Linked DNA regions of Tamandua tetradactyla. The protein of the gene in region 1 binds, or shares a complex with, the protein of each later gene. Links are inferred from orthologs where the notes say so. Each region holds a gene or a part of one and is shown in the gene's direction. Other genes may lie near its edges. The genes, in order: NUP205, NUP160, NUP107 and NUP214.

What was found.
Region 2: NUP205 (region 1) and NUP160 share a complex: the UniProt entries of both Homo sapiens proteins name them as parts of the nuclear pore complex. The link is inferred for Tamandua tetradactyla from reciprocal best matches to the Homo sapiens genes NUP205 and NUP160.
Region 3: the proteins of NUP205 (region 1) and NUP107 are in contact, whole or in part, in a cryo-EM structure (PDB 7WB4), measured with the Xenopus laevis proteins. The link is inferred for Tamandua tetradactyla from reciprocal best matches to the Homo sapiens genes NUP205 and NUP107. Residues at the interface, in XP_041443600.1 of Xenopus laevis: Gly1247, Gln1248, Arg1249, Pro1250, Ser1458, Arg1506, Gln1507, Leu1983, His1991, Gln1995; in NP_001091312.1 of Xenopus laevis: Gln134, Glu136, Pro189, Tyr282, Tyr283, Gln770, Ser772, Phe773, Thr774.
Region 4: NUP205 (region 1) and NUP214 share a complex: the UniProt entries of both Homo sapiens proteins name them as parts of the nuclear pore complex. The link is inferred for Tamandua tetradactyla from reciprocal best matches to the Homo sapiens genes NUP205 and NUP214.

What each region holds. Positions count from the first base shown.
Region 1 is NC_135327.1:178,269,865-178,277,939, forward strand, and holds the start of NUP205 (nuclear pore complex protein Nup205), read left to right. Parts: upstream 1-4,928; 5' UTR 4,929-5,152; coding exon 5,153-5,180; intron 5,181-8,075. UniProt on the Homo sapiens protein: Plays a role in the nuclear pore complex (NPC) assembly and/or maintenance. May anchor NUP62 and other nucleoporins, but not NUP153 and TPR, to the NPC.
Region 2 is NC_135334.1:124,602,961-124,610,029, reverse strand, and holds the start of NUP160 (nuclear pore complex protein Nup160), read left to right. Parts: upstream 1-4,008; 5' UTR 4,009-4,051; coding exon 4,052-4,151; intron 4,152-4,404; coding exon 4,405-4,516; intron 4,517-7,069. UniProt on the Homo sapiens protein: Functions as a component of the nuclear pore complex (NPC). Involved in poly(A)+ RNA transport.
Region 3 is NC_135333.1:136,833,962-136,841,885, forward strand, and holds the start of NUP107 (nuclear pore complex protein Nup107), read left to right. Parts: upstream 1-4,894; 5' UTR 4,895-5,152; coding exon 5,153-5,160; intron 5,161-6,439; coding exon 6,440-6,531; intron 6,532-6,985; coding exon 6,986-7,072; intron 7,073-7,688; coding exon 7,689-7,804; intron 7,805-7,924. UniProt on the Homo sapiens protein: Plays a role in the nuclear pore complex (NPC) assembly and/or maintenance. Required for the assembly of peripheral proteins into the NPC. May anchor NUP62 to the NPC. Involved in nephrogenesis.
Region 4 is NC_135328.1:54,076,095-54,083,184, forward strand, and holds the start of NUP214 (nuclear pore complex protein Nup214), read left to right. Parts: upstream 1-4,047; 5' UTR 4,048-4,201; coding exon 4,202-4,246; intron 4,247-6,256; coding exon 6,257-6,452; intron 6,453-7,090. Other genes in the region: AIF1L (allograft inflammatory factor 1-like), read left to right, coding at 465-552. UniProt on the Homo sapiens protein: Part of the nuclear pore complex. Has a critical role in nucleocytoplasmic transport.

The sequences.
Region 1 (8,075 bases):
CTAGATATTAACACCATGAATTTGCTAATTATATGAAGGACATACAATATTTCACTCAACATAATGTCCTTCAGGTTCATCAATGTGACATGACTTTATTTCTTCTTACAGCTGCATAATATTCCATTATATGTACACCACCTTTCGTTTATCCATTCGTCAGTTGATGGACAATTGGGTTGTTTCCATTTTTTTGAAACTGTAAATAATGCCACTATGACCATTGGTGTTCAAGTGTCTTTTCAATTCCCTGCTTTTAGTTCTTCTGAGAATATACCTAGAAGTGGATTGCTGGATCATATGGCAGTTCTATACTTAGCTTCCTGAGGAATCTATAAACTCTTCCACAGCAATTGTGCCATTCTTCATTTCTACCAACAGTGAGTAAGTGTTCCTATTTCTCCACATCCTTTCCAATATTTGAAGTTTCCTTTTCAATTTTTTTTTAAATAGTGGCCATTCTTGTAGGTGTGAATGATATCTTATTGTAGTTTTGATTTGAATTTCCCTATTAGCTAGTGAGATTGAACTTCTTTTCATGTGCTTTTTAGCCATTTGTATATCCTCTTTGGAAAAATGTCTATTTGTGTCTTTTGCCCATTTTTTAATTGGGTTGTCTTTTTACCATTGAGTTGCAGGATCTTTTTGTATATCCTGGATATAAAAGCCCTTTTCTGATATGTGATTTCCAAATATCTTCTCCCATTGTGTAGGCTGCGTTTTCACCTTTTGACAAAGTCTTTTGAAGCACAAAGGTATTCAATTCTGAGTCCTTTATTTATCTATTTTTCTTTTCTTCATTTGCTTGGGATGTAAGGTCTAAGAAATCACCTCTTACCATAATATCTTGAAGAAGCTTCCATACATTTTCTTCTAGGAGTTTTATGGGTTTGGCTTTTATATTTATGTCTTTGATCCATTTTTAGTTAATTTTTGTATAAAGTGTAAGATAGGGGTCCTCTTTCGTTCTTTCAGATATGGAAATCCAGTTCTTCCAGCACCATTTGTTGAATAGACTGTGCTGTCCCAGTTGGGTGGACTTGGCAACCTTGTGAAAAATCGATTGACCCAGGGATGAGTCTGGTCCTGGCACCGTGGGATCAGTAATGCCATCCAGAAAAGGGGGAAAAGAAGTGGAATAAATGAGATATCTGTGGCTGAGAGAGTTCCAATAGAGTTGATAGGCTACTCTGGATGTCACTGTTATGCAAGCTTCATTTAGATATTGCTACCCACCATACCTTACCAAACCAAAACTATTCCGGCCAATCCTAAAGAACACCTAGGGTGTTATATAAGATACTACAAAGGCCCCATGCACTAGGGTAACTTTTCGAGACCTACAATCTCCAGATGGTCCCTGGACCAGATAAATCCTGAAACACAGAGGGGCCAGCCTCTCCAAAGCATCATCTCGTTCCATCCCCCTAACCCATATTATTGACAGCCCCTTACAACATGAAAAAGTTAGAATGAGCATAACGCAAATACCCATAAAGAGTGGGAGAAAGATTAAAGGCAATGGTGGAGTTATACAGAGAAGGTAGGGTTTAACAAAAGAGTATGATTGCTGAGGGGCCAATCTCTCCAGAACACCAGCTAGTTTTATCTCCTTATCCCATATTATCGATACCCTATTCCAACATGAAAAAGTTAGAATGGGCATAGCCCCAATACCCCTCAAGAATGGGAGAAGAATCAAAGGCTATGGTAGAGGTATACAGAGAAGGTAGGGTTTAACAAAAGAGTGCAATTGCTGAATCATTACGTTGACATTTCCAGTATCTTAGAGCGGCTAGAAGTAAAAACCTAAAATTGTGGAATCGTAACCCACACCAGATTCTGAAATCTGTTCTACAACTAATTGTTGTGCTATGTTTGACATTTATTTCTTTTTTGTATATATGTTATTTTTCACAAAAAAGAAAAAAAATACTTCTAGCCTCCAGTCTTTTGGAGCAACTACAAGGAAAAATCTGAAATAGTGGAATGGTAATCCATAACAAAGTCTGAAATCTGTTCTGTAACTACTTGTTGAAGTGTACTTTGAAAAAAAAAGTCAATTGGCCATGATACATGTATTTATTTCTGAGCTCTCTTCTATTCCATTGATAAATATGTCTATCCTTATGCCATTGAACTTTTTTTATTACTGTGAAAAAATCAATTCATGTTAGATCTTAAGGTTTATTTCTAAACTCTCAAATCAATTCCATTGGTCAATGTCTATCTTTATGCCAATACCATGCTATTTTATCACTTTATAAAGCTTTGCAAAGTGCTTTAAGTTGGGAAATGAGAGTACTCCAACTTCATTTTTCATCTCAAGGGGTAAGGGGCTCCTTACCCTTTCAAATAAATTTGGGAGTTAGATTTTCCAATTCTATATGTAGGACTTTGGAATTCTGATTGGAGTTGCATTGTGTCTGTAAGTCAATTTGGGTGGAATCTTAACAATATTTAGTTTTCCAAATCCATGAACATCTATTTAGATCTTTGATTTCTTTTAGCAATGCTTTGTAGTTTTTTGAATACTTATCTTGTACATCCTTGTTTATTTCTAGATATTTGATTCTTTTGGTTGCCATTGTAAATTGATTTTTCCCCCTATTTTTCTCCTCAGATTGTTCATTACTAGTGTATAGAGCACTACTGATTTTTTCATGTTAATCTTATATCCCTTGCTGAACTAATTTATTAGGTCTGGTAGCTTTGTTGTAGATTTTTGGGGACGTTCTAGGTATAGCATCATATATTCTACAAATAGTGAAAATTTTATTTCCTCATTTCCAATTTAGATGCCTTTTATTTCTTTTTCTTGACTAATTTCTCTAGTTAGAACTTCGAGTACAATATTGAATAACAGTGGTGACAGTAGACATGCTTATCTTTTTCTTGATCTTAGTGGGAAAGCTTTCAATCTTTCACTATTGAGTATGACATTAGCTGTGGGCATTTCAAATGTGCCCTTTATCATGTTAAGAGAGTTTTCTTCTATTCCTATTTTTCAAAGTGTTTTTATGAAGAAGGGATTCTGGTTTTTTGTCAAACACTTTTAGTGCATCAATCAATACGATCATGTGGTTCTTCTTCAATTTTTAAATGTTATTTATTACATTGATTAATTTTCTTGTGTTGAACCACCCTTACACACCTGAGATAAAGCTCTCTTTATCATGGTGTATAATTATTATAATGTGCAATTGGATTTGAATTGCAAGTATTTTGTTGAGGATTTTTGCACCCATGTCATTAGGGAGAATGGTCTGTAATTTTCCTTCTTATTTTTTTTTTTTATCTGGCTTTGATATTAGGATGGTATTGCTTCCATAGTATGAGTTAGGTAGCATTCCCTCCTCCTTCAGTTATCTACGAGTTTGAGTAAGACTCCAACTGATTTTTGACATGTGTGCTATTTCCACTCAGTCAGGAAAGAATGATCTCTTCCACAAATGGTAATGGGGAAATGGGATATCCATGTGTAAAGAATGAAAACTGGATATCTACATTCAAAAATTAGCTCAAAATGTATCACAGATATAAATATGCTAACCAAAACTATAAAACAGTAGGAGAAAACATAGGGAAGCATCTTCAGGACCTTGTGTTAGGCAGTGGTATCTTAGTCTTTACCTGAAAGGAATGAGCAACAAAAGAAAATATAGATAAATTGGAATTCATCAAAATTAATTTTTTGCGGTATCAAAGAATTTTTTCATGACAGTGAAAAGACAACCTAGAGAATGCAAGAAAATACTTGAAAATCACATATCTGCTAAGGGCTTAATATGCAGTATATATAAAGAAATCCTACAATTCAATAACAAAAACACAATCCAGTTAAAAACTGGGCAAAAGATTTTTATTGCTATTTCTCCAAAGATGATATACAAATGGCTGGTAAGCACAAGAAAATATGGTCAACATCATTAGCCATTAGGGGAATGCAAATCTAAACCACAATGAGATACCATTTCATTCCCAGTATATTGGCAACATTGGTGACATTGTAATAGGGTGCAGTCTCTGTGGAGGATAGTTTGGCAGTTCCTTAGAAAGTTAAGTGTGAATTAGCATATGACCTGACAATTCCAGTTCTAGGTATAGACCCAAAAGAACTGGAAGGGGGGGACTCAAATGGTATTTGTACACCCCTATTCATAGCGGCATTATTCACAATTGCCAAAAGATGGAAGTAACCCTAGGGTCCATCAATTTAAGAATGGACAAACAAAATGTGCTATATGTGTACAATGGAACCTTGTTCAGCCATAAAAAGGGATGAAGTTCTTATACATGTTACAAAGTGGATGAATGTTGAAAACATCATATTTAGTGAAAAAAGCCAGATTCAATATAAAAAAAATTGTACGAGCTCACTTATATATAAACTATGAACTATAGTTAATTGTATAATTATAATAATATTGTTTCATCAAGTTTAACAGAATGCCACACTAATGCTAAGTCTTAATTATAGAGAAAACTATGTGTGCATGAGGGGCAGGAGTGGGTTGTGTATGGAACTGTAGTTTTTGCATTTTTCTGTAAACCTACAACCTCTCTAGTAAAAAAAGTTATGATTTGTTTCACTCCATGCAATTATGTTGATGCAGTATACTTTGTATATTGAAATGTGCTGAAAATCCTGTTTGTAACAGGTCAAATGACTTTTAGAAGTATTGAAACCTCATACCCAACTCCACGTCCCAAGGTAACGGAGCTATGCAAAGAAGATTTAACATAAAATTTAGATAATTTTATTTGATTTCATGGATTTTATAATATCATAAATATGCGTTATTTCAACAACTTGTCTTTGGAAACCTTTTCTTCCAGTGTACATAACGCACTTGACGCATCATTAGGAAGAAATTACAGGTCCCAGGATGCACTGCACGAATACGTCAAGTTGAGGACCTTGCATTTCCGACGTGGTTGCCTTTGCCCTATGTGAATGGGAACAATTCCGGTGAAAAATTGCTGCTTGTGGCTCAAAGCATATTTTTCAGTTTTTCATACTCCCGCGTAAGCCCAGCGCGCTGTTTAGAGATGGCAGTGCGGGGCCTTTATTTTCAGGCGCCTCGTCGGGCAGCCTCACCCTTTCTGGGGCCTCCGAGCGACAGGAGGGCTTCGTTAGTGCGCCTCCAAGATGGCGACGCTGTTGGCGGTAAATTCGGGTAAGTGTGGCCGGGGTAGAAGGAAAACGGAGAGGCAGGGCGGTGATCGTTTGTTTGTGGAATAACCTGGGCTATGAGGTTCCTTGGTATCCAGACATCCCACTTGTACTCGGTGTATATTTTTCCCTAGCTCTAGGCCTAGGGGCCCGCCCCTCCTGTTTGAATGGCGCGCGTAGGCGCTGCGGCTCTATCCTTTGGGTTGGGGTTTGAGGGTCGGGGCAATGAGAAGTGGTACCTAGGAACAGTGTTGCAATCTCACGGCCCAGGACCGCCTGGGTCCTCCCATCCCCACTTATATTCCCACGTCGTGAGGTGCCTGTGGCCCGGATTTCGCCATAATATATGTCGAGTCTTCAACAGTGAGGTCAGAGGACCCGGGATAGTTTTCAGTCACCAGCGGAGGCTGAGCAAATTCGAATCTCCAATCTATAAAGAAGTACCGGAGTTCCCAGGCGAAGGTGCCTAGGCAATGGTTGTCGCGGGCTCAGCAGATGATTCCGAGATCCGCGGCTGTGATCCGACAGTAGATGTTCAGTACTTTTGGGACAGTAGGTCTTCGGGGCTAAAGTAGATGGCGGTAATGCAGATTGTAAGAGGTGGAAAAAGAACGCTAGGTGATTTGGGATGGGGCCTCTTTTGGTGATTCTCGACCCGGGGCGGTGCCACCCCACAAGGGCGTTTTAAAGAGGGGGTGCATTTTGACTGTCACAATTCCTGGGTTGCTTTACTGGCATTTAGTGGGCGGGTCAAGGATGCTTCAAGTCTCGCACCGGGCAGGACTGTTATGGAAACGAGTTTCCTGCACAGAATGTCAGTAACACCCGGGTTGAGCCGCACTTAGCTTTATTGTGCACAGTTTAAGAGAATGTTTGCGTGAAAAATCCTTGTGCAGAATCTCACCGAAAAGGACTCCTTCGTGGGCACCTTTTCTTTCTGTCTCTGTACACTTTTTTTTAATGGTTTATTCTGCTTTCACAAACTGTTATTCCTGAAAGGTTGTCTAAATCTAAGTTGCAAATCAAACTATTTAAGAAATACTGACACGTTATTTTGTAATAATGAAGGCTTATATTTATTGAGCACTTTTGTCCCAGGCAGTGGAATAAATATTGTACTTGCACTAGTTCACTTAATGCAAGTATAATCCCTTTTGTACTTGTGAGGTAGCTGCTAATAAATGCCCCAATTGGAAATAGAAATTTAGAGCAGTAACTCCCACAAGATTGTGTAACTAATGATCCTAAACCAATCTTACCTGCTTAAATAACTGCGTACTACTAATTATAACCGGATTCATTTTATTAATCCAATTTTCATACATTTCAATGTTAATAATGAACTTAGCTCCTTAATATTGCTGTCCCTTCCCTCAACTTGATATAACCTTTTTTTCCCTCTGTTACTATTTTAATGCAATTTTATTGAGATATGTTCACACACCACACACTCCATCTGAAGTATACAATCGTCATTGTATCTTACTTTTTTTTTTTAAAATATTTTTACTGAGATAGCTTCACACACCATACAGTCCACAAATGTAAACTTAAAAGTAAGGCTTGTATGTTATGTATGTGATTAGAAACATTTTTTGAGTAAGTACTTATCCCAAGTTAGTATCACTATATCCAAATCATTGAAGCAAAAGTAAAAAAGGAAAAGAAGTTGCTAACAGCTGCAAAGAGTATACATTGTATAATAAAGCCTTGCCCTCTCTCTTCTCTCAAAAGACAAGCCACTACTCACTGACTTTTTTTCTTCAACCCACGAGGGTTCTGTTCTGTTTTCCTAAGTTAAAATTAACATGCTCTTCCATTTCACTAAATCCAGCAGACATTTTCAAGCTCCATCTTGACCAAAATCATGGCCTGAGAGACTGAATAGTGTGGCAGTTGCCTGTTTTGCTAAACCTTTGTTTTCTGCACTCCAGCTCTCTTCTCCTGAGACCTTTTCAGTTCAGTGCAGTGTTCCCTGTTGTCGTGGAACCCACACATTCTGGCTTCCAGAAATGCATGTCCTCAGATCCCATCCCTCAGTTAACTTCCACTTTTATCCTTGGAATTTCAGGCTACTCATTGCTCGTCAAGGAAGCTTTCCCTTCTCTGACCTTCCTGACTAGATCAAATCCTGATTTCAGACTACTCATTGCTCCTCAAGGAAACTTTCCCTTCTCCGACCTTCCTGACTAGATCAAATCCTGTTAAGTGATCTCATGCCCTGGATACCTCTACTTCATAGCACTTGCCACAGCTGAATTTTGCAATTATATGTGATTATATAATTAATGTGTTTTCTCACTAGATTTGAAAGCTTACAGTATTTAATACATGATGAATGAGTGAATAAATGGTAACTTGTTGGAAGGCTCTCTCAAAACTTAAGGAAAATAAATGTATTTCTAAAATGAGCAAATCACTTATGTTAAAAACATATCTTTGGTGGCTCACTGGTAGAATGCTTGCCTTTCATGTGGGAGACCTGGGTTTGATTCCTGAACCATGCACCCAAAACAAACAAACAAACAAACAAACAAACAAACAAAACCACATCTTCATGGGGAAACTGTATAAGGTGGAGGATATATGGAAACTGTATTACGTATTCAATTTTTCTGTAACTCTAAAACTGTTCCAAAAAATAAAGTCTATTAATAAAAGATAAAACCCCCCACATCTTCGGTAATCTGAAAAAGTATATAGCCTCCTTTCATTTGTAGTCAATAACAGATATTGACTAAAATTAGCCAAGTTGAAGATAAAACTGAAGATATAACTTAGTTATAGCTGGCTTCTATGATGTGTTAGTATTATGGTGGAGTAAAGAGTATATGTGGGTTTTTTGGTACAGATTTTTGACCTATTGTTGGATGCCTCCTTATAAAAAGAAAAAAAATGG
Region 2 (7,069 bases), on another chromosome or scaffold:
CGTACAAGCGAAGCATTAGGAGAATCGAATGATGATATTTTGACTATCTCCTTTGCCAACTCAGTCCATGGATTGGGTGTGTCATTCTGATTACGGGAATCAGAGTCCTTAGTGTCTCTGAGCCCAGTCAGAGTAGAAAACCATTCATAAAAACCCATTTTTAAGATTCTGTTCCTTAAGAACCACTCCTGGTACCAAGATGTATTAGTTAGGGTTCTCTAGAGAAACAGAATCAACAGGGAACACTTGCAAATATAAAATTTATGAAAGTGTCTCACGTGACCGTAGGAATGCAGAGTCCAAAATCCACAGGGCAGGCTGCGAAGCCGATGACTCCAATGGATGGCCTGGATGAACTCCACAGGAGAGGCTCACCAGCCAAAGCAGGAATGCCACCTGTCTCCTCTGAGTCCTCCTTAAAAGGCTTCCCATGATTGGATTTAGCATCACTAATTGCAGAAGACACTCCCCTTTGGCTGATTACAAATGGAATCAGCTGTGGATGTAGCTGACGTGATCATGACCTAATCCTATGAAATGTCCTCATTGCAACAGGCAGGCCAGTGCTTGCCCAATCAGATGAACCACAACTTGGCCAAGTTGACACCTGTCCCTAACCATGACAATGATATTGCTATATTTTAAAACTCCACCTACTGTATCTGACCAAAGGAAGAGATGCTTATTTTGTCCACAACTTAAATTTTATGTAGCACACAATCTAACTTAACCTGTTTGGCCAGTTCATTTAAACAACCTAAACATATGGACCCTAGAAGTGGCAATGCAATCTTGTAATTCTGTATAGCTTAAAGTAGTACCCTAATACATTCCAGAGTATGTTGGGTAAATAGCCGAAAAGTAGTGGCAAAATCCCTAGAGGGACTGGAGAAAAAATATGGAACTGTTAAACTTCCTTATCTGGGAAACACCTGATACTATCTCAAATATTAGGGACTCCCAAGTCATAGGTCAAGCCCTTGATCTTGAGGCTTTTTCTTATGAAACTTTTATCTGTAATGAGAGGCTAAGCCTACCTATAAATATGCCTAAGAGTTTGTTCTAGATTGCTAAAGCTGCCGGAATGCAATATACCAGAAATAGACTGACTTCTAAGGGGATTTATTAAGTTACAAGTTCACAGTTCTAAGGCCTTAAAAATGTCCAACCTAAGGCATCCAGAGAAAGATACCTCAACTCTGAAGAAAGGTTGATATCTGTCCTGCATCAGTGGGAATGCATGTGGCAGGCATCCAAGGTCCTTGCTCTTGTTTCATTGCTTCCATCTTCTGATTCCAGCGGCTTTCTCTCCAAGCATCTGTGTGTCCCTCACTTAGCTTCTCTGGGGCAAAACTATGGGTTTCATGTCATAATTTAGTATCGTCTGGGGCCAAAGATTTCTTTTCTTCAAGTGTCTGAGTCCTGGTTTCATACGGCTTCTCTACACATCTCTGTTGGCACTTTTTCTAGTTTGCTAGCTGCCAGAATGCAATATACCAAAAACAGAATGGCTTTTAAAAAGGGGAATTTAATAAGCTGCTAGTTTACAGTTCTAAGTCCATGAAAATGTCCCAATTAAAGCAAGTCTATAAAAATGTGCAAATAATGGTACCAACAAGTGGTTACCTTCACTCAAGAAAGGCTGGTGAAGTTCAGGGTTTCTCTGTCAACTGGAAAGGCACGTGGCAAACATGGTGCCCTCTGCTAGCTTTCTCTTCAGCCTTCTTGTTTCATGAAGCTCCCCCCAGGGATATATTCCTTCTTCATCTCCAAATGGCAGCGTGAACTCTGGCTCTCATTATTTTCGTTGCTCTAAAAGGGAGTCTCTCCAAAATGTTTCCTCTTTTAAAAGATTTCAGTCAAGGCCCACCTGGAATGGGTGGAGTCACATCTCTCTCTAACCAAAAAATTAATACCCACAATTGGGTGAGTCACATCTCCATGAGAACAATAAAAAAGCTCCCAGCCAGCAATATTGAATGAGGATTAAAGGCTTTTCTGGGGTACACCACAGATTCAAACCAGCACATCTCTCTTCAATGCAAAGTAGTTAGAAACAGTCCTTGCCCAAATATCCCTGAAGATTGGGAAAAGGATCAAATGAGAGGGAGGATTTGTAACAGAGAAGATAGTATCTGCAAATCACTGTGACTACTGAATCACTATACTGATGTTTCTTGTTAGTTTCTAGTGTATTAGAAAAGCTAGAAGGGGATATCTGAAATTGTGGAACTGTAACCCACACCACACTTTGAAACTTACTCTAAACTTTGAAATTTATCACTTTTCTGTATATGTTATACTTCACAATAAAAAAAATGCAAGAAAAAAAAAAAAAACAGAGTTCTGGGTACTCCAAAATTAAGAGGTTAGGAGAAGAGGAGAAACTAGCAAAAAAAAAAGTCTAAAAAAGAAAAGTTGGTGAAGCAGGAGGAAACCAAGATAATGGGGTGTCCTAAAAGCCAAGTGAAGAAAGTATTTCCAGGAGGAAGGAGCAGTCAATTGGTCAAATACTGCAGGTGGTCAAGTAAAGTTTAGAAATGAGAATTCCATTATAGATATATAACGTGAATGTCTCTGATGATCTTCCAAAATGCAGTTTCAGAGAGCAGTAACAGCCAAAGCCTTAAAAAAGCAGGTTTAAGCGAGAACAGGAAGACAGGAATTGGATAGAACGCTCTTGAACTTTGCTGTAAATGCAGGGAGCAGCGGAGATGTGCAGTCGAAGCTGAAAAGAATGAGACGAATAAGGGCTTTCTTTATGGGGGGGGGGGGGGGAATAACGGCAAGTTTGCATGCATAAAGGACCAATCCAGTGAAAAGGGAAAAACCAAGCGGTAGGAGAGAGGAAGGACCGCAGGCACGTGGCGATGCAGTGAAAGGCAGCGAGAGTGTCTCACCAGATTCCACCTGCAGCAGCAGGACGGGCAAGGCAGCCCCACGAGCGCAGGTGCGGCCCGGTGGGGAGATGCGGCAGCGGGGAAGAACCCTCCGGGAATTCCCGTTTGCGTCCACCTTCTAAGCGAGGCCAGGGAAGAGGTGCTGGGGTTAGAGAGCTATGAAATACTCCTCCAGGACGCTGAGGAAATAGCGGACACGGAACACGAGGCGCCTCACGCAGTCAGAGCGAGGCACGTCCTAAGGGCGTCTACTTTTTCTCCAGCCCTGGTCAAAGGCAGATTTGGATTTCATCGAAGTTGTAGGTTTTCAACTAAAGCATCGTGAACAGAGCGAGCCAGGGGGTAACCTAATGGAATTTAAGCAGGCGCAAGAAACTTTCAGGGAAACGCAGGACGGTGAAAAGGAGGAGGCAGCCACGGAGGGCAGGCGGTTCAGGGGCTGCCTCGCTGAGTGATGGCGGATGCCACACAGAACGGCAGGCGAGGGTCGCGGAAACCTTAGCAAAGCCCGGCTTCGTGAAGAAAGAAACTCCCGCCTTGAAAACGCGCATGGTCCTCGGCACCCAGACGGCGCTCTGCCCAGAATCGGGCCCACGGCTTCGACAGCCGGGACGAGAGCCCGGCTCCTCTTTTGGGGGTTCCGTAACGAAACTTGAGCAGGTCGCGGCACCAACTTCTCATTTAACACATCGAGTGTCATTATTCAAGAAAAAACGAACACAGTCGCGTGAGAAAATCCAATACAACACAGAAGGTCCCTTGTCACCTCCAATACCGCCCTGACAGGCGAAGGGAGACTGACAGACCTACGGAGGCGGCGGCCGCCCGACCGGCTGAGGGCGCTAGACCCGCAGAGGGCGCCAGACCACGCACAGGACCGCGCCCGCGAGGCCCCGCCTCGCAGCGCGCTAAGGCCGCCGGGAAAAGGGCGAAGCCCGCCTGAGGCACCTTAGCCGGCCACTCGTTGGTTCCTGCAGACAGAGGCGCTTCCTCTCTGCCCACCTTGCAGTCTCCTGGCAACTCTGTGGAAGCCTTCAAGGAAGCGGCGGGCGGCCCTCGCCTCTGCCGGCAGCCCCGCTAGCCCCACCCCGGAAGTACGCAGACCACCTGGCCCTGCCGTGTCCCGTCGGGCCTCGCGGCGGCGCGGGAAGATGGCGGCGGCGGGAGCCCTGGAACGGAGCTTCGTGGAGATAGTGGGAGCTGAGCGCGAGAGGCAGAGGCATTTTCGGGAATTTACGGTCTGCAGCGTTGGTACGGAAGCGGTCCCAGAGAGCGCGCGGCCTTCCGACGGTTCCCCGGGTCTCTGTCCACCTCGCCGGGTTCATCTTCTCAGTCCACATTCTGCTGGCCCTTGGATCGGATCTTCCCCAGTGTCCGGCTTCTTCCTCCTTTTCCCTTCCCTTTGTGTGGATTGTCAGCCCGTCACTCTGTGCTCCCTCGGCGCACTTAGCCCCTGTCATCCCCCGAGAACCTCGTGTGCGCACTGACCACCCTCCTTTTCCAGGGACCGTAAATGCCGTGGCGGGAGCGGTGAAATTCAGCGAGAGCGCGGGAGGTTTCTACTATGTGGAAAGCGGCAAGTTATTCTCCATCACTAGAAACAGATTCATTCATTGGTAAGTGTTGTCTCGTCCACCCTTCTAGAAGGTACGGTTATTCGGAGTTTGGATTTTCCTGGCTCTTCCGTCATTCTGCGAAGCAGTAATCGACATCTGGCAAAGTAGAAAGACTGTTTGCAATTCATTTCCGAATCAGGAGAAAAATTAGAGTGGCCCAGAATTCTAGGCGTGAAATCCCATCCCCACCCCAGTCTAAAGCAGAGGGAATGGAGCTTAGGGATAAATCCCTGAAGACCAGGATTTAAGCATGAACTTACTGTGGTGGTGTTTTATTTCTTTTTATAATCGAGCAACGCTTTATTTTTTTTAATTTAGCTAACTATGTTTCTGTGCCTTCCACACTTTCACAAGGACTTTCTGCTTCTCAATAAGGAAAGCTTACTTGTTCCATTGTTTTCATAGCACTTGACAGCTTCCTTCATTTTTCGAACACTTGTTGAACTTCTATATGTCAGGCCATTCTAAGGATTTTGGATTTTATCCTAAGTACATCGAGCAGTCATTAAAAAAGTGTTTTTAAAGAGTTTTTAACACAATCAGATTTGCATTTTTAAGCAGTTGGTCTCAATGTCTGGAAAATGAACTTGGATTGAGTGGGACTGTTACACAAGAACACTTTCCTTTTACAATGGTCCAAGGAAGAGATGCTGTGGTTCAGATTGTGGTAGTGGCTAGAAAACAGAATAAATGGATTCCAGATACATTTAGAAGTTAGATTTACTCAGACTTGGTGACAAATTGAATATGGAGTTGGGAGGGGTAAGGGAAAAGGAGGGAACAGAGACAAAAACCCAGGTGTTCTGATGTGACTAACAGGAAGTGAGGGGTGGGAGTGTCATTTACTGAGATACAGAGACTTGTTTGGAGAGAAATTCTTTTGGACATACTAAAGTTGAGGTACCAGTGCTGCAGCCCTTGGAAATATCTGGTAGGTATTGGAATTTACAGACTTGAGACTCAGAAGAGAGACCTGTATTAGAAATATGAATTCGTTTATTTAAGAAATATTTTTGCGTGCCTGCTATGTTCCAGTCTACAGTTAGGAACTGGGAATATAGGGGTAACAGAACAGACAAAAATTCTCCACACTCATGGAGGGAGACAGGTAAAAAAACAACAACAACAAAAAAAGTAAATGAACTTGTCAGGTGACAGTAAATGGAATAGAGAACAAGGAAGCAAGTCAAGAGGAAAGGGAAATGCTTACAGGAATTACTGTTTTACATAGAATGGTAAGGCAGAACTCAGAAGTCGGTAGACTATTTGAGCAGAGAAAGTGAGGATACCAAGGGAGGAGCATTTCAGGTAGAGTATTCTCAGAAGAAACAAAAAAATGCAAAGAACTGTGAGAAGGGAGCTTGTCGTGTTCAGAAGAATAGCAGGGTGTCAGGAGTCTGAATGAATAGTAGAACAATGAGAGAGATATCCCAGGGCCAGATCAGAGCTTTGTCACTTATTTAAGTCTTAGGCTTTTTACTCTGGATGAGATGGGAAGAAGCCATTAGAGCATTTTAAGTAAAGAATGACATGATCTAAGTTGTGTTTTAAAACCTTGATCACTGTGGCCACTGTATTAGCAATAGAATGTAGTGGGGAAAGGATGGAAGTAGTGAGAAATGGTCTGATTGTGGATATGCTTTCCAGGTGAATTTATTACAATTTACTAATGAATCAGATGTAGAGTATATGGAAAGAGAAGAGTTAAGGGTGACCCCAAGATTTTTGGCTTGAACATTTGGAAGTTGTGAGATGCCATTAACTCAGATGGGAAATAGTGCAGAAAAACAGATATTTTTGGTTTTTTGAGCTTGATATGCAGGAATTCGGTTTTGGGTGAGTTTAGTTTGCTATGTCTTTCCAAGTGGAGATCTTCAGACAGTAGTCAGGCGCTCAGTGGACAGGATGGGTGGAAGATACAGTTTGGGGGATCGTTGGCATGAAATGGCATCTAAGCTTGTTGTATATTGAATGAGATCACCTGAGGTTTCTCATCCCAGCACGGTCAGCACTTGGGGCCAGGTCATTCCTTGTCAGAGGGGATGCCGCAGGATACTGAGCAGCCTCCCCAGCCTTTGACCGCTGCGGGCCGCCAAGCTTCTTCCTGCTTTCGCCCCCGGTGTAGCAGCATTGTCCCCAGATATTGCTAAATGTCCTTGGTGGGGAGGGAAGGGAGGAAAATTATCCCAGCTGAGTGTCACTTGTGTAGATGAGGGAAGAGAAGTATGAGGACTGAGCCCCAGGGCACTCCAGCATTCAGGAATGGGGAACTAGTGAAGAAGACTGAGGAGGAATAGCCAGTGAGGTGAAAGAGTGTTGTCTCATAATCTTAAGGAAAGTGTTTCAAGGAGGAGAGCAAAAAAATTGTCAAACACCACATTTGATTTGGGTAGGATGAGAAATGAAAATTGACCTTTGCCTTGTGGAAGTCATTGGTAGCCTTGGCAGAAACTGCTCCAGTAGACTGGTGGGGCAGATGCCTGAGCGGAGTGGGTTCAGAAGAGAAGTAGAGAAGAGGGTCGTGACTATTTGAATGAGTATTGCTCTAAAGAA
Region 3 (7,924 bases), on another chromosome or scaffold:
ATGGTACTTTCACATCATGACTATTTAAAAGCAAATGTAATAGATACTATTCCTGGCCATAAAACCAGATACTCCCTTACCCCATTCAAACAACAACAAAATAATTTAATTTTCCTACATCTATTAAATGAATAATTCTTCTTTATAATCAGAATATGGGAAAAAGGCATTTTTTTCCCTTATGCACTGTTGAGAACAAGCACAATCCTCTAAATGTTTTCTTATCCCCTTACAGTGTTATTTCTTCTAGACAACTGAGTGGAGAGGAAAAGTGATAAGAAAATTATTTCTCATCTTGGACATCTTCTATAAGCCCCTGAAATTCTCATCTGACCCTCTGTGACATATGTAGCAGTGTCAGCATCTCTTCAAATATAGCTCCCTTCACACTGGAATCTCTCAAATTGGCTTCTTGAAGATTACACCTAGACAGATCACAATTCTCTAAATCAGTTCCTGCCACAGTTGCTCCTCTAAGTTACAATTCTTCAACTATGCATTTTTTAAATGTAGTACCTCTTAGGTCAATTCCTGTCATTTGACTTCCTTCCATATTCACACTTTTCAGATTAGCACCTTCTAAATTGGCTTTAAGACCAATTCAAAATTACAGTTTCAAGGATGCCCCTTCTGCATTAGAACATAGCATCTTGAGCCCCTGGAGATTTGCACAATCAAACACTGATCCAGAGAGATCAGCTCATTCAAGATCTGCACAGCAGAGATTAGCATGTGCAAGCCTGCAACGGCTTATACTGGCCATTTTGAAGTTAATGTATTGAAGGTACAAATGAGAAAGATCAGCACCACTGAAGTTCAAACCCTGCCAAAGCAACTCTGATTTAATTGGAGTGGCTAGTAGAAATTGGACAAATTCTTTTCTGGATATTGGTGAATGATCCTCTAGTGGTTAAGAATTCTTTATTGCCACTTCAAGATGTTCAATCAATGAGTCAATAACAAAAAATCTTACTTCTTCTAATACGCCTAGTAAATTAATGTCATCATTTACAATGAGCTGTCCATGACGCAAATAGTTCACAATGGGTTCAAAGTACTCAGGACTTCAGTCAATTAAGAAACTCCTCTACAATCTTGCTTATTTCCCCAGACACCTTTGTCTTTAAACACGTGGGCCAGCATACTATAGGTTCTTCATTTACCAAAGTGCTCTGTGTAGTTGTAAACTACCGCCCTCCATTAGCCAATCTGTGTGGGATCCTGTCAGTCCTTCAGGTGGTTTAGAATCTAAGGATCAATAAATTGTTCTCCTTCACATACAAACTAAACATCATCATCCCTGATCAAAGCAATATCATCAATCAGCCCACCTTTCTCATTATACATGCTGGTGGCTGATGCCAAGTTTATTACTGGCCACAGAAAGCAAATCAAATAAAGTTCCATACAAAGCAACCACTTCTCCATTCTTGGGGCTGCTGTTAAGGAACAGGGTTACCCGCCTCATCATGCTGCCCCCTCTGGGTCCAGAGTGAGCCGCCACCTTCGCACCTTTTTCTTCTCCTGCCCTTCTCCTCCCTCCACCCACTCCAACTCTCCTCCCTTGTCACCTGCAGCCTCTTACCATGAATAAACTTTCACTAGCAAGGACATCATTGTTGACCTTGTTTAGAACTTTAGCAGTGGGGTTGAATCAGACAGCATCAGGTTGTACTGTAAATGGAAGTGGAGACAAAAAGTCAAAAAAGAATGTTCTCTTTTCCTCTCTTTTTTTAAATGACTAAATTAAACATGGTGTAGATGAATAATTTCTGATATAAAAGATGTTCATATGTGGTGAAAAAGCAGATTATAAAACAGTGTTATAGTATAATCCCACTTGTTCTAATTATCTTTGGGGGGTGGGTAGGCACGGTCCAGGAAAGGAATCTAATTATGTTTTGCTGTATAACAAGCCACCCCCAAATTTACTGGCATAAAACAATAATATATTATTATTTCTCTTGGTTCTGGGGATAAATTGGATTCAGCTGGGCAATTCATGATGCGGGTTTCTCATGGACTATAGTCAGATATAGTGAATAGGCTTATGAAAATTCTTTAATTTGTCCCTTTGCTTATTGTCTAGTTTCTTATCGTTCCATAATAGACACACATATTGGATTTATAGTAAGAAAGCCAATAATAGCTATTTAAAATGTACCAAAACAGAAGTTTGGCTGAGAAGGGATGAAGAAAGAAAAGATGGCAGATAGAAAGAAAAGCAGGTAAAAGGATGTTTTCTTTTGAAAGTGGGGTGGAGAGGGGTGGTGGTGTCAGTCATATTTTGAGGCCAAGGTAAACTCCTCTTTCACGTCAGCTGATGTGATTGACACCTACGAAGTATTTCTGCACACACACACTCAATGCGTTCAAATGTGTTGACCATGAGGAAACAATCAGACAAATCCAAACTAAAAGACATACTGTAGTACTGATCTGGCCTCTTCAAAATAGTGACTTAAAAGGGGGAAAAACGTCTGGGGACTATTATAAATTAAAATAGAACAAAGAGACACATGACAACTAACTGTATGATCCTATATTGGACTGTGGTGATTTGAAGCTATATGTACTCCAGAAAGACATGTTCTTAAATTTAATTCAACTTATATAAACTCATTTTAACTAGGACCTTTTGATGAGGCTACTTCAGTTAAGGTGTGACTCACACTCATTTAGAATGGGTCTTAATCCTTTACTGGAATCCTTTATAAGAGATTACAATTCAGATAGAGAAAAAGAAAGCCACAGAAGCAAGAAAATGAAATCCAGAAGAGAAGGGAGAAACTAGAAGATGCCACCATATGCCGCCTGCCATATGACAGAGGAACAGGGCTCGCCAGCCAGTCTTTGGGAAGAAAGCATCACCATGATGATGCCTTGATTTGGACATTCTCATGGCCTCAAACTGTAAGTTAAAACGTTCCCATTCATTGTTTAAATCCAACTCGTTTCATAGTATCTGCTTTGAGCAGCATCGGAAATGAAAACATGGATCCAGGATTGTGGAGAGGACAGGTATAAAGAACATTATTAGGACAGTTAGGGAAATTTAAATATGGTAGTTACATCATTGTTTAATGTTCTGAGTGGGGAAATTTCATTGTGACTATGTAGGAGAATGTCTCCTTGTTTTTAGGAGATGTATGCTCAAGTATTTAGGGTGAAGTGTTAAAGATGACTGCAACTAACTCTCAAAAGGTTCAAGAAAAAAGAGAGAAAACGTGAGAAATGTACTGTAGGTTTGGAACTTTTCCACATAAAAAGTAGGGGAGGGGAAAAAAAAACAGATTCTTCTACAGGGTGTGTGTGTGAGTGTGTGTGTGCTCCAGATCAAAATGTTCTGTCTTGAGTGCTTGTGGGATGGCTGCTTCCTGGCCCCCTAGTTGCCTGGAGGTATGAGTTTTCAAAGTCCTTTCTCCAACTTTTTGATAAAAATCTATGAGCTTCTGCTATGCTTCCAGTAAATTCCCTTTTGTTTAAATTAGCCATAGTGAATTTTTATCATTGCAACCAAGAACTCGAACATAAAACCAGCATGTATACAATATACACCACACAAGGAGTTTATTCCACATAGTTTTAAGGCAACCAAATGAATAAACTTTTAAATGTTTGGGGGCATCAAGATGTTCTTGCCTACTAATGAAATGTGACAAAAGTGAATCCCTGTACACTTGTTAACAAATTTACTATACTTGAATATGAACTGAACAGGTCTATTACTTTGCCCAAAGCTGCTGCTGCTTTTTCTACTGTGCTTTAAGATCAATCACTTAATGTATACCTAAAATGGAAATCAGCAAGGGTCACTGAAATAAGCGACCCAAAACACAACAAAGCAAAGAATAACTTATATCAGTAAAACCCACTGGAATTCATTTGCGGAAGGGACACACGTAAAGGCGCCACTGGTTCACACTTCGAATAAATGTGCCTCCCCACTGACAAAAATAATTTAGAACCACAGTTCACTTTCCATAAGAGAACAAGTGCACTTTTGTACAGGAAAATTAGGAGGTGGGGAACATGAGCGAGTTCCAAGATGTGATTCATCACCCGGGTTACTGAAGGAGAAAATTAATATTTCGATGATCTACCATGTGCAGTGCACATTTGCGATCTCATTTTTAATCCTCACAACTTCGTGATAGAGGTGTTTTTATCTTCATCCTGCAGAGTCCTAAAGGAATCTGCGGGCAGAGACGATCAAACCTCGATCGGGGCACACCAAAATCACCTTTATTCAACACGCTGTGTTGCCTCAGGGTAGATAAGGTTATGACGAGGCCTTTCTGGGAACGAAGGTTCCCAGAATTTGAGCGGAATGTAAATGCCTAAAGCAAAACTTCAACTGATCTCTTTGGAGCCAAAATAGACACTACTTTTTGCCGAGGCGGCGCTTTGAAATAGAGAGCAACCCATCGCCTTTCACGCTGCTTTTCGACTTTTTAGAACAGCTGATCCTTTTCCTCTTAATGGGAAAAAAAAATCAAGTGAAGGACAAATAGCAATTACTGAGAACAGTTTCAAAATCTGTAGGGGGTTATATCACCAATTCAAACCAGGTGAGTGCAGTGATTGAGTCAGGGACCCTGTAGGTGTAGGCAGAGCCAGCACGTCAGGATTCCAAGTCCAGACATCTTCTAACCAAGAATACAAGAAAATTATTCACATTTTTCAATATTAGCAGTCTACGTCGCCAAGCTTCCAGTACCTTAGCTCAGCGCGGAGACAAACACCACTGAGGAAAAGCGAAGACATACGTCACGGCCAAACGGGTCACGGCCAAACAGGTCAAGACCCACCTCCTGCCCACCCCCCGCCCCCGGCCCAGACCCCGCCCCCAGCCCAACCGGGCCCTGCTGGGCGCGGTCACACACGGACATCCGTTCGCGCCTGCGCCGATCAGGCCGGCACCGGCGCCTACGGGAGGAAAGGGTTGCGCATGCGCCCGATAGTAAAGTCATGGGCTTTTTTGCGCTTTTTGTTTGTTTCCTTTCTTCTCCCCCATCTCTTTTCACTAACGGGAGTTCAGTCGGGAGTGCTTCCGGGTTGAAGGGTTTGCTTCCGGAACGCGGGAAGGCAGAAACGCGGTAGCTCATTTAGATCCGAATTGCAACCTAAGTTGGTTAAGAAGGCCATAGCCATGGACAGGTCAGTTCTGGTGGTGACAGCTTAACCCGGGAACTTGTCCCTATTGCCTGCTGGTGGAACGGAATAGGTGAAACCCGACTTACAGAGGAAGCCAAAGAGGTCTTGTGTGCTCTCTCTAGATTCCTTTCACTGGCTGGGAGCTGATGTAAGAAAGGCTGCTTGGCTGGGATGAGGGGTGGAGCATACAGATAATGATAATCGCCTGCGTTCCTACGGTGACTCTGTGATCTATCTATTCTGCGCTTCCACACATTTTTCGCTTCTAGGGTGGGCAGGCTAAGTGGTGGCTCTGGATTAGAGATGCTCAGTGACTGCTTGAGATCACAAAGCCAGTGACGGAACCGGAATCCAAATTCAGACTTTTGGTTCCTGGCAGTAGCCAACAATTGAGTGTCAACTGTGTGATTGCCACTGTGCTAAACATTTAAGCATATTATTAGCTAATTTAGTCTTTATAACAGCGGAGAGAATAGGCAGTCTCATCCTCTCTTCATAGATGAGAACATTGTGTGAAGTTAAAAGAGATAAACTTGAGTCAAAGTTAGGAAGTTAATGAGCAGAACTGAGTTCCCTTGATGAGTGAATAGGTGTTCATCGGGTAGACAAGGGGATAAATGTAGGTCTCTGTAAAAGGAGCAGCATGTATAAAGGTGTGAGGGTGTGAAAGTACATGCATTGTGTAGATAAATGGTCATATGTAGTATATATTTGTATGGCAGTGATGTTTATGACTGAATGTAAGGCCAAACCTGTAAGCTGGGATCAGGTTGTGAATACCAGGCAAAGGAATTTAGACTTGATTCTATAAGCTGGAGGGAGCTAAGTTTGTTAAGGTAGGTCAGACTTGAGGGTTTTAAGTGGAAGAAAAGCAAATTAGATTTGTGTTTTAGAACACAGATCTCTGAATCCATGCAGTTTAGTTTCTAGACCTTTGGATGAGAACAACAGGGGAACTCTGGAGCATTATAAGTACAACATTGGTAAGACAGGAGACAGGGTACCTTGGGGTTGTTTCTCCCAATTTATGGGCATTCGTTTTTATTTAACCTCCCATCTCACAAGCTCAAACATCTCTACTAACCGACTTTTCCATAGTACCCATGGAAGTATTTTGGAGACTACAGAAGATCCTTTAAGATGAGTTTCTCCATCCTGTAGGGGAAAGAACATTTTCCTTCATTAACACTTATAAAATCTTGACCTACCTTAACAAACTTAAGTGCTTTTCTACAGTTGTGATGTAAATGTTCATTCACATGAGCTTGATTGTACTACTTAGGAGTGACTTTGGAGAGATGTCATCCCCTGTGATCCGGGAGGCAGAAGTGACACGGACTGCACGGAAGCAGAGTGCTCAAAAAAGAGTTTTAAGTATCCTTTGCATTTTAGACATCATTATAAAAATTGCAAGATATTTGGAATTTCAGTTATGGAATTTTATTTTTATGAGCAGTATTAACACTAGTTATTAAATATTGTAGCATATAATGCTACATGATAATATAGTAAGTTTTATGTTTCCCTGAAAATGTGTTCCATTTTACTGCTGACTATCATATTGTGGTTAGGTTCTGCTGACATGGTTCCTTTTTTTATTTGAACTTAGACTAAGAACTCTTCATTCACTATATAGTAATTTAAGACTGACAACTTAGAGTTTCATTGACAGAGGAATTTGTTATGTATTGACTGCATAAAAAATAGTTGCTATGAACTGCACTGTTCTTGAAAAAAATGTATTCACATATTTTGTGTAATATAAATATGCTTAATCCTAACTTGATCTCTTTTCTGCATGGAAAATTTTCTTTAACTCTTCTAACAGTTCGAGCATCCCAAGATGAAAATTTAGCTAATACTACACCAAGAAACCAGGTTATCCCTCGAACTCCCAGCTCATTTCGACCGCATTGTAAGATTTTTTTTTTGCTTTTAAAACATCTAATAATAGCACTAATAATAGTGCTAACATTTGTTGTACATGTAATAAATATATTTGGTTGTAATATCAATAATTAATAATAATAATAGTAGTGATTACAGCTACTATTTATTGAATTCTTACCACATGCAAGTTATACTTTGTATAAACACATGGTAGCTGTGATGTAGATATTTTCAATATTTACATTTTTTCAAAATTAAAAGTGAGATTTAGAGATGTTAAATAACTTGGTTAAGTATGTAAGTAATGTAACCAAATTCAAAAGTGGTCTGCTTACTCCAAAACTCATGCTCTCTACACTATACTTCTTTCTTAGTAAGCTTTATAAAATTAGAATATTAAGAATTCATTAACTCATTATTGTTGTGTTTTTTTTTTATTCTTCAGTTATTTTATAATGAAAGCATCTCTATTTGTGGTAAAAACCAAACACTCAAAGTTAGCGGAGCAAAGTTAAATCTCCCAGTCAAGAAAATGTTAACATTTAAAGTATTTATTTGTTTAGACTTTAAAGAACTAAAAACAGAAAATTACTTATGCTGGATTGTTTGTTAGCTTGTTTTTCTTAATCTCTTATTTGTAGTTACTCCCCTGAACCGAAGCTTACTAAGGCAGCCAGATACTTCCGGCATTCTTGGAACAGGAGGAAGGTCGCCCAGGCTTACACAGTCTTCGGGGTTCTTGGGAAATCTGTCCATGGTATGTAGGAGAATGGGGCTGAAATCTTCCCCCTTTTTATGAAGGTATAAAATTCAACTGAAAAACCTTTTCTTTTAATAAGAATTGTCATCGTATTCATCATAAATCAAAATAACTCTG
Region 4 (7,090 bases), on another chromosome or scaffold:
TGCTTCTGGACTTTACTCTAAGAGCAGTGGGGAGGTTTTTGAAGATCTGAAGAGTTTTTGAAGAGTTTCAAGTAGGGTATTGGCCAGGTTTGTATTTACAAACTTTCTCTTGAACAGAGCTTCAGCCCAGCCTTGTGGTACCTACATGCCAGGCATTGTGTGCAGGGGAAGGTAAAGTCAGAAGTCTGGAGTCTCATCCTGCCTCTGCCTTGGACTACTTGTGTGATTCTGAGAACTCATGGCACCACTTTGCACCTCAGTTTTCTACTCTGGAAAACAGAGTAGCAGTGCCTTTCACACAGCTGCTGCCCTGAGCTTCCATGAGGATCCTGCTGGAGAACAGCTGGGAGGGCATTCTGTTGAGGACTCCACAGACTTGGGGGCTGGGATGATCTTTTCCTGGATTGGGGAAGGAGTCCTAATCTTCTTTTGTTTTGTTTTGTTTTCCTCATCCTCCAAACCAGAGTCATGATGTTTGAAGGAAAAGCCAATGAGAGCAGCCCCAAACCAGTTGGTCCCCCTCCAGAGAGAGACATTGCCAGTCTGCCCTGAGGACCCCTGCTGGACCTGGACCTGCCCCTGCCCTTTCCAGCTGCCTCACCCCCTGCCCCTCCCTCTGGAGCTCCCTGGCCTTCTTGACTCATTGTGATTTGTCTTGTTTGTTTGGTCATTGTGGGTTGGTTGGTTGTTTTCTTTGTGGGACAGAATCAGTGATCTTTTTGTAAAGCACAAATTATCTCCCTTAAAGAGGCTGTAGATGGGGGGGGTGGGGGTGGTCCTGAGCCTTCTGTTCTCTCCCTCTTTTCTCTCCTCCTTTTCCCCTCCTTGTGCAGAAGGGCTGACATTCAACCAAAAATTGCAGGGGATGGGAACAGGGCAGGGAGGCTGGGAGGCTTTGTTCCCCTCCTTTGGAGCTGGCACTGTCTTTCCTTCCAAGTCTCTGAGCCAACCCCAGACTTGTTGGCCTGGCACAGGTGGGGATCCCAGTTCACTTTCAGAAGGCCTAATTCCACCTTTAAGGGAGGATGCTGAGTAAGTCAGGAAAATGAACAATAAAATACTCATGGTAAAAAGTCTGCCCTACCGCTAAGCCAAGAGCTGAGAAATAGAAGATTGCCTTTCTGATCTCAGTCTGCTTAAAACTTGGCTGAACTTCCTCCGTTTGCCTTCCTACCTTACTACACCATTTAGTCAACAGATACTTGTCAACAACCATTATAAGCTCCAAGTCTTCCCATTTTATCCTGACATGTGCTGTGTCTGCTGTGTAACTAATTTCTCCTTTTCCCAATCACCCAAAACTTTGAACCTGGAGATTGGGTTGGGGCATCTGTGTTCTTTATTAGACTCACAGGATTTAAGAGCCCAATCCACCTTGCAGGTTAGCTAAGCCAATCCTCTTGTTTCATAGGTGAGAAAATTGGCAGTCCATAAGGACAAAGTGCCTTGCCCCAGGACAGAGAGTTAATTTGGAGATGGAAAAGTCCAAACTAGAGGCAAGGTCTCATGATCCCCCTGGCCCATGCCTCGTGTCTTCTCAGGACTGCCTCAAGGATGAAAACAAGGAAAGAGGCAGGTAGGGGCGGTCTCCTAGGTCAACACTTGGGTAAAGCTTCTCTCTTCTGAAGGTCCTCTGTGAGGATTAACCCTCCCCAGCCTCAGAGTTTGAGTCAGTGTCACAGTCTGCATTAAGACCAGGCCTACCTCTGCAGTTCTGCATTCTGCAGAGCTTCTGCCAAGTCTTGGAGACACTTTCCTGTCACACTTGACCCCTTTTGGACTGAGCAGAGGCTTCAGCCTTTACCCCTCCCTGTGCAGGGCTTAGACATACTCATTCATTTAACATATTTATTAAGCACCTGCTATGGGCCAAGAACTGAGACTCCAGAAATGAAACAGGACAGACCCATGGAATTTAGAGTCAGATACAGATGATGATGAATGTTAGGAAAGGGGGTGGAACATAGAGGGATGACTGCCTGTAATTCTGGGGTACCTAGACTTGGCCCAAGACTGAGCTACCGTCTGGAGAAGCCTTTGCAAAGCCTTAAGTGGAAAGATCTGGGGGCTGTTGGAGGTTGGGCTCCTTGCACGCTCCTCAGTAACGAATAATCAAGGCTCCAAGGTGCTGCCTCTACACCTTGAGGGGGTAAAGCACCTAGAAGTTGGAAAATGGCCCAGTTGGATTAGTCTGCTGGTCTCAACCAGTTCAGGAGTAAGACTACTTGGACATGACTGGCTGATCTTCAGCCTAAGAAGCTGCTTCAAATGCACAGGCCTAGTTGAAGATTAAACCTCAGCAAAACATTCAACCCTGTATATGTTAAATCCTACTCCCTCCATCCCGCTGGCCTTTTTTGTTTTTTTTTTTTTGCTCCCTAAGATCATTAGGTTAGCAACTGCCTGTCCTCACCTCTTCCCACTACCTCTCTCTGGGACAGGTTGGGACCTCTGAACAAAGTAAAGCCTTCCTTGACTACCCATCACATTCAGTGTTCCTGTTTTACTCAGAGAGGAAGACAGAAATAACTTGGCTTATTTCGGTGGGTTCCATAGCTTGCAAGAAGACAGCAGGAAGACTTGTGAAAGGAGTGCAAGCAAAAGCGTGTCCTGGCTTCTGGAAAGGGCAGGAAAGAAAGTGTCCTTATTGGATAGGGGATATGCTGGGAAATCTCATCAGTTCTTTTACCACTTTTTTGAACTCAACCTCTGGGGGTAGAGGGTCTTGAGAGTGGTCCCTGGGAGAGGGGGTCTGTATGTATTCCAGATTGTGGCTGTCAGCTCCAGGACTCTTACTTCTCTTGGTAAGGGCTCATCTTGAAACCTCAGCTGTTTTATTTCTAAAAGACCAAATCTAATTGTAATGTAACCAATAACTAGGGGATGGCCAATATGGTTTTGTCCCTATGACAAAAGGAAGGAGTTTGTCAGGTAAATTCAAGCGGATGAAGTATGTGTGCATGTGAGTGTGTGTGGTGTGGGAATATCTGCTCTACAGATTGGGAATAAACCAGACAAACTTATCAGCGTCCTGACTGGTGTATTTTGGGGGCAGTTCCTGTGCTCTGCAAAGTCAGAAGAGCTACCTGATATAGAATGACATATAGAATAGTATGGAATGAATGTGTCCTATGTGCCCGGCTTTGTTAAGCTCTGAATTTCATTTACTTCTCCCAACAATGCCATTAGATAGGTTCTTGTTATCCTTGATTTACATATGAGAAGAAGGCTTGGAGCAAAACAAACAAAAAACAGGTGGCAGAACACTTCCTGGGGAGTGTGGGCTCCAAGTTAAGAATCCCTGTCCTAGAGCATTTGTAATTCCACTACAAAAATTTCTTCTATATCTATGTAAATGATTATCAGCATATCCAGATAATCTGAATTCTAATCCTGCCGCCACCATTTTCTGACTGAGGGTCACTAGGGAATTTTCTTAACTTCTGTGTTTCAGTTACCTAATCAGTTAAATGGAATCAATAATCCCTGGGGGTGAGGATGTTTTAAGGATTAACATCCCTAGGGATGAGATAACTTTTCTAAGGTGTTCTGCACAAAGCTCCGAACAAATTTTGTGACCAGGGGTGGATATGGCTCTTGTTCTTAAAATGATTACCTTCAAAGGAGTAAACAAGGCTGGCATATGGTCCCTTTAACCGCCCCATCCAGCCTTCATCCCTAGATACAAAATGGTCTCGGGTGGCGAGGTCCTGTCCCACCCACTTTCTGAACTTCTCTCTGCCTTCGCCCCCAAAGTTTCTCATGAGCTGGAAATGAAGTTCCTAACTGACTTCTGCATCGGAAACAATATCCGCCTACATCCAAGGGTTACCGGGAAGTTTCAAATGAACGATGAGAGAAGGACACTTAGACGTAAGCAACCCACAGAGAAAGCAGCGCGCTCGGCCGGGACTCCAAGCTCCAGGCCGCGAGGCGCGGGTCCCGAGGCCACGCCCCGTACTCGAGCCGCCCAATGGGAGGCATCGGCCCCGAGAGCGCGCGCGACTTCGGGTGTTCCTCAGTCTTGTTAAGGCACGTCGCGAACCGGGGTGCGTGACATCATCAAAACGCGCCGGAAATGCGGAATCCTCTGCGCGCCTCTACCGCTGAGGGAAGGAGTTTAGTCTCGGAGCGTCCTAGGCTCTTGGCGTAAGGCCGCGGGCGGCCTGGGTGGCTGCTTGGACAAACTGAGTGCGGCGCGATGGGAGACGAGATGGATGCGATGATCCCCGAGCGGGAGATGAAGGTCAGAGGCTGTCCGGGGGCTCCCTCCCTTACTCAGTCCTGGCGTTGCCCTGGAGTCCCGCGGAACGGCCGGGTGCCCCGCCTCCTTCTTGAACGTTTTACCGTGTTCAGAGTTCTCATCAGCGGGTCCCGGGGCACGGTGCCGCGTTGCTGGCGTGGTAGTCCCATTGAATGCAGTTTCACGTCCCTGGTTGGTCTTGTTCACGCCTCTTGAATTATGTTGGCTACTTTCATGTAGTAGTCACAGTAGTGGTAACTACTACTCATTAAGCGTTTACTGTGTGCTAGGCACCGTGTAACCATTGTCTCCCTGATTGGTCACAGTATTCCTACGAAATAATTGGTAATATACCCATTTTACAGAGTAGCATATTGAGGTTTGGAAAGTAACTTGCCCAAAGTCGCATTTGACCAGGGGGCTGAAATCCATGTTTATTTTTCTTCATTCTTCATTTGCTACTTCTATAGGGTGGTCCAGACTTGCCTAGCACATAGCTAGGGAATATCACCTAACCTATGGAACTTTTAGTTAACTGGAATAGGAGGACTACTTTGGCACCAGAAATCAGCTTAGTCAGAAAAGTGGGGAAGAACAAGTGGTCCAGATGATGGTAAAGGAATCCCCAGGGATAACCACCAGGATGATATTTCTTAAAAACGTTCTGACAGAATGAAGGTACAGAAAACGAGCTACTTTCTTTTAAATAAGAAACAACTAAAAAGGAGTAAGCTGCAATAAGATTTCAGGCGTTTGTGTGAACAACAAATCATTGAAATGCATTTAAGGGATAGTAGTTTCATATACTTGAGCAGTGATTTCTTCTTTTCCCTTTTGAGAATCACTCTTGTAGTGAGCTACCCTGGAATAATGTTCCTATTCCTCAAATATGGTGGGAAAGAAGAACAGTTTCAGAACAACTGCCTTATGAGATTATAGTTTCCTTTTGAGTTACTTATTACAACAGAAAAGAGAGCTTCTGTGCCTCTTCATCCCACTGGCCCACTATACCCATGTGACCAACACCCAAATGTATTTGACATTATCACGAGAATTACAATAAAGCCTAATAATTTTATTCTGCTTTATTCTATGAATATGATCTCACTTGGAAAGTTGTGTGAATTTCTAATCACTCAGTTGAAATTAGAGAAGAGTATTTCAATTGATCTTTCAGCAAATATGTATTAAATATCTAATCCAAGGTAATTAGTATATGGGGTGCAATAGTGATCCTGTATGAAACGAACAATCTAGTTTTTCTTTTTCTTGAAGGTAAGTTTAGAATTGAAGGGGAAAATTAACCATATAGAATACAATTTAACATAGTGACTGGTATACCTTGGTAGTGCACTTGTGTCATGAGGTGAGGCTGCTGAGGTGGACTGGACAAGCGATATCTAGCCTTGTAGATTGTGTTGAGGATTTTGGACTTGTGTTTTATATGTTCTTCTAGCATCTTGGTTTTGCTTAAAGATCTTGAACTCTAAGTAAGCCAATTCTTGGGATTTGGTCCTCTTTCTGTGGTTATTTTAATATGTGTTTGAGGATTACTGCAGTAGAAGTTAGCACTTATACTGTAGTTGGGTGATGCTTTCGACATTTCACAAATTATTAAGCACTGTTCTGGGTCATGAAATGATACATACATAACGCAAAATAGGGCAAGATTATAAACAAAATGCAGTTTTGCAGTGATTTTGACAGTAAATATAGTAGGAATCAGGAAAAAGAAAAGTTCAACGTGAGCCAGATTAGTCAAGGAAGTCTTCATGAAAGATTTTTTTTTGTTTGCATATTTTCATTTATTTCATTCAACATATAGTACATACTTACTATGCCAGCCACTATGATAAGAGTAGGAAGTTTAAAGACTGCTGAGACACAGTCCTTGGCGTCACAGGATTATATATTTTTGTTGTACTGGAAATTAGGTCTGTTGGCATATATTGACAGTCATGATGTAATTTCCTTTTTGCCCTGAATTGGTCTTGTTTTTATCCTTTGCAATAGGATTTTCAGTTTAGAGCACTGAAGAAAGTGAGAATCTTTGACTCTCCTGAGGAGTTGCCCAAGGGGCGCTCCAGTCTGCTTGCTGTGTCCAATAAGTATGGTCTGGTCTTTGCTGGTGGAGCCAGTGGATTGCAGATTTTTCCTACTAAAAATCTTCTTATTCAAAATAAACCTGGAGATGATCCCAATAAAATTGGTAAGTTACCTGATTTATGTTGCATAATAGAGGAGTGTTGTATAGTGCTAATGTAGTTTCCTTCTCAAGAAATCATTCCAATATTGAAGTTAAACTGCTGTTTTAGTCCTAAAGTTGATTCCCAAGAAGAATAAATTCCAGGTGGGATTCTGAAAAGCTTTTCTAGGTATTCTCTTTGGTCCTTTGTATTTCTCTTCTGTTGAGTAGTTCCTTCAAGCTTAGAGGGAAGAAGAACTTTCCATTATGCTATGCTTTTATTTTAAGATGGTTTGGCTTTCTAGAAGGGTTTTGTCTGTGGCTTTTCAGTTGATACAACAGTACTGTTCAAACAAATGGGAATGTGTAGTATTTGGGAGCATTGTTGCAAAAATGCAGGCACAAGACTTTGTTTTCAGCAAAGAGTAACAACCAAAGTCAGTTTCCCTAGGTTGAATGAGGAAGAGTCCCTGGAATACTTAATGTGTCATTTTACCTCTGTATGAAAGTTAAGTTTTATCTACATAATTAAGTATCAGGTAGGGGTGTGTGTGTGTGTGTGTTTGCGTATGTGTGTTTATTTAGAGGCAAAATTATTTCACATAGAGGATAAAGGAGTTGTCGCTCAATGCTTAAAATATTCCATTTTCTGTTTTGTCTTC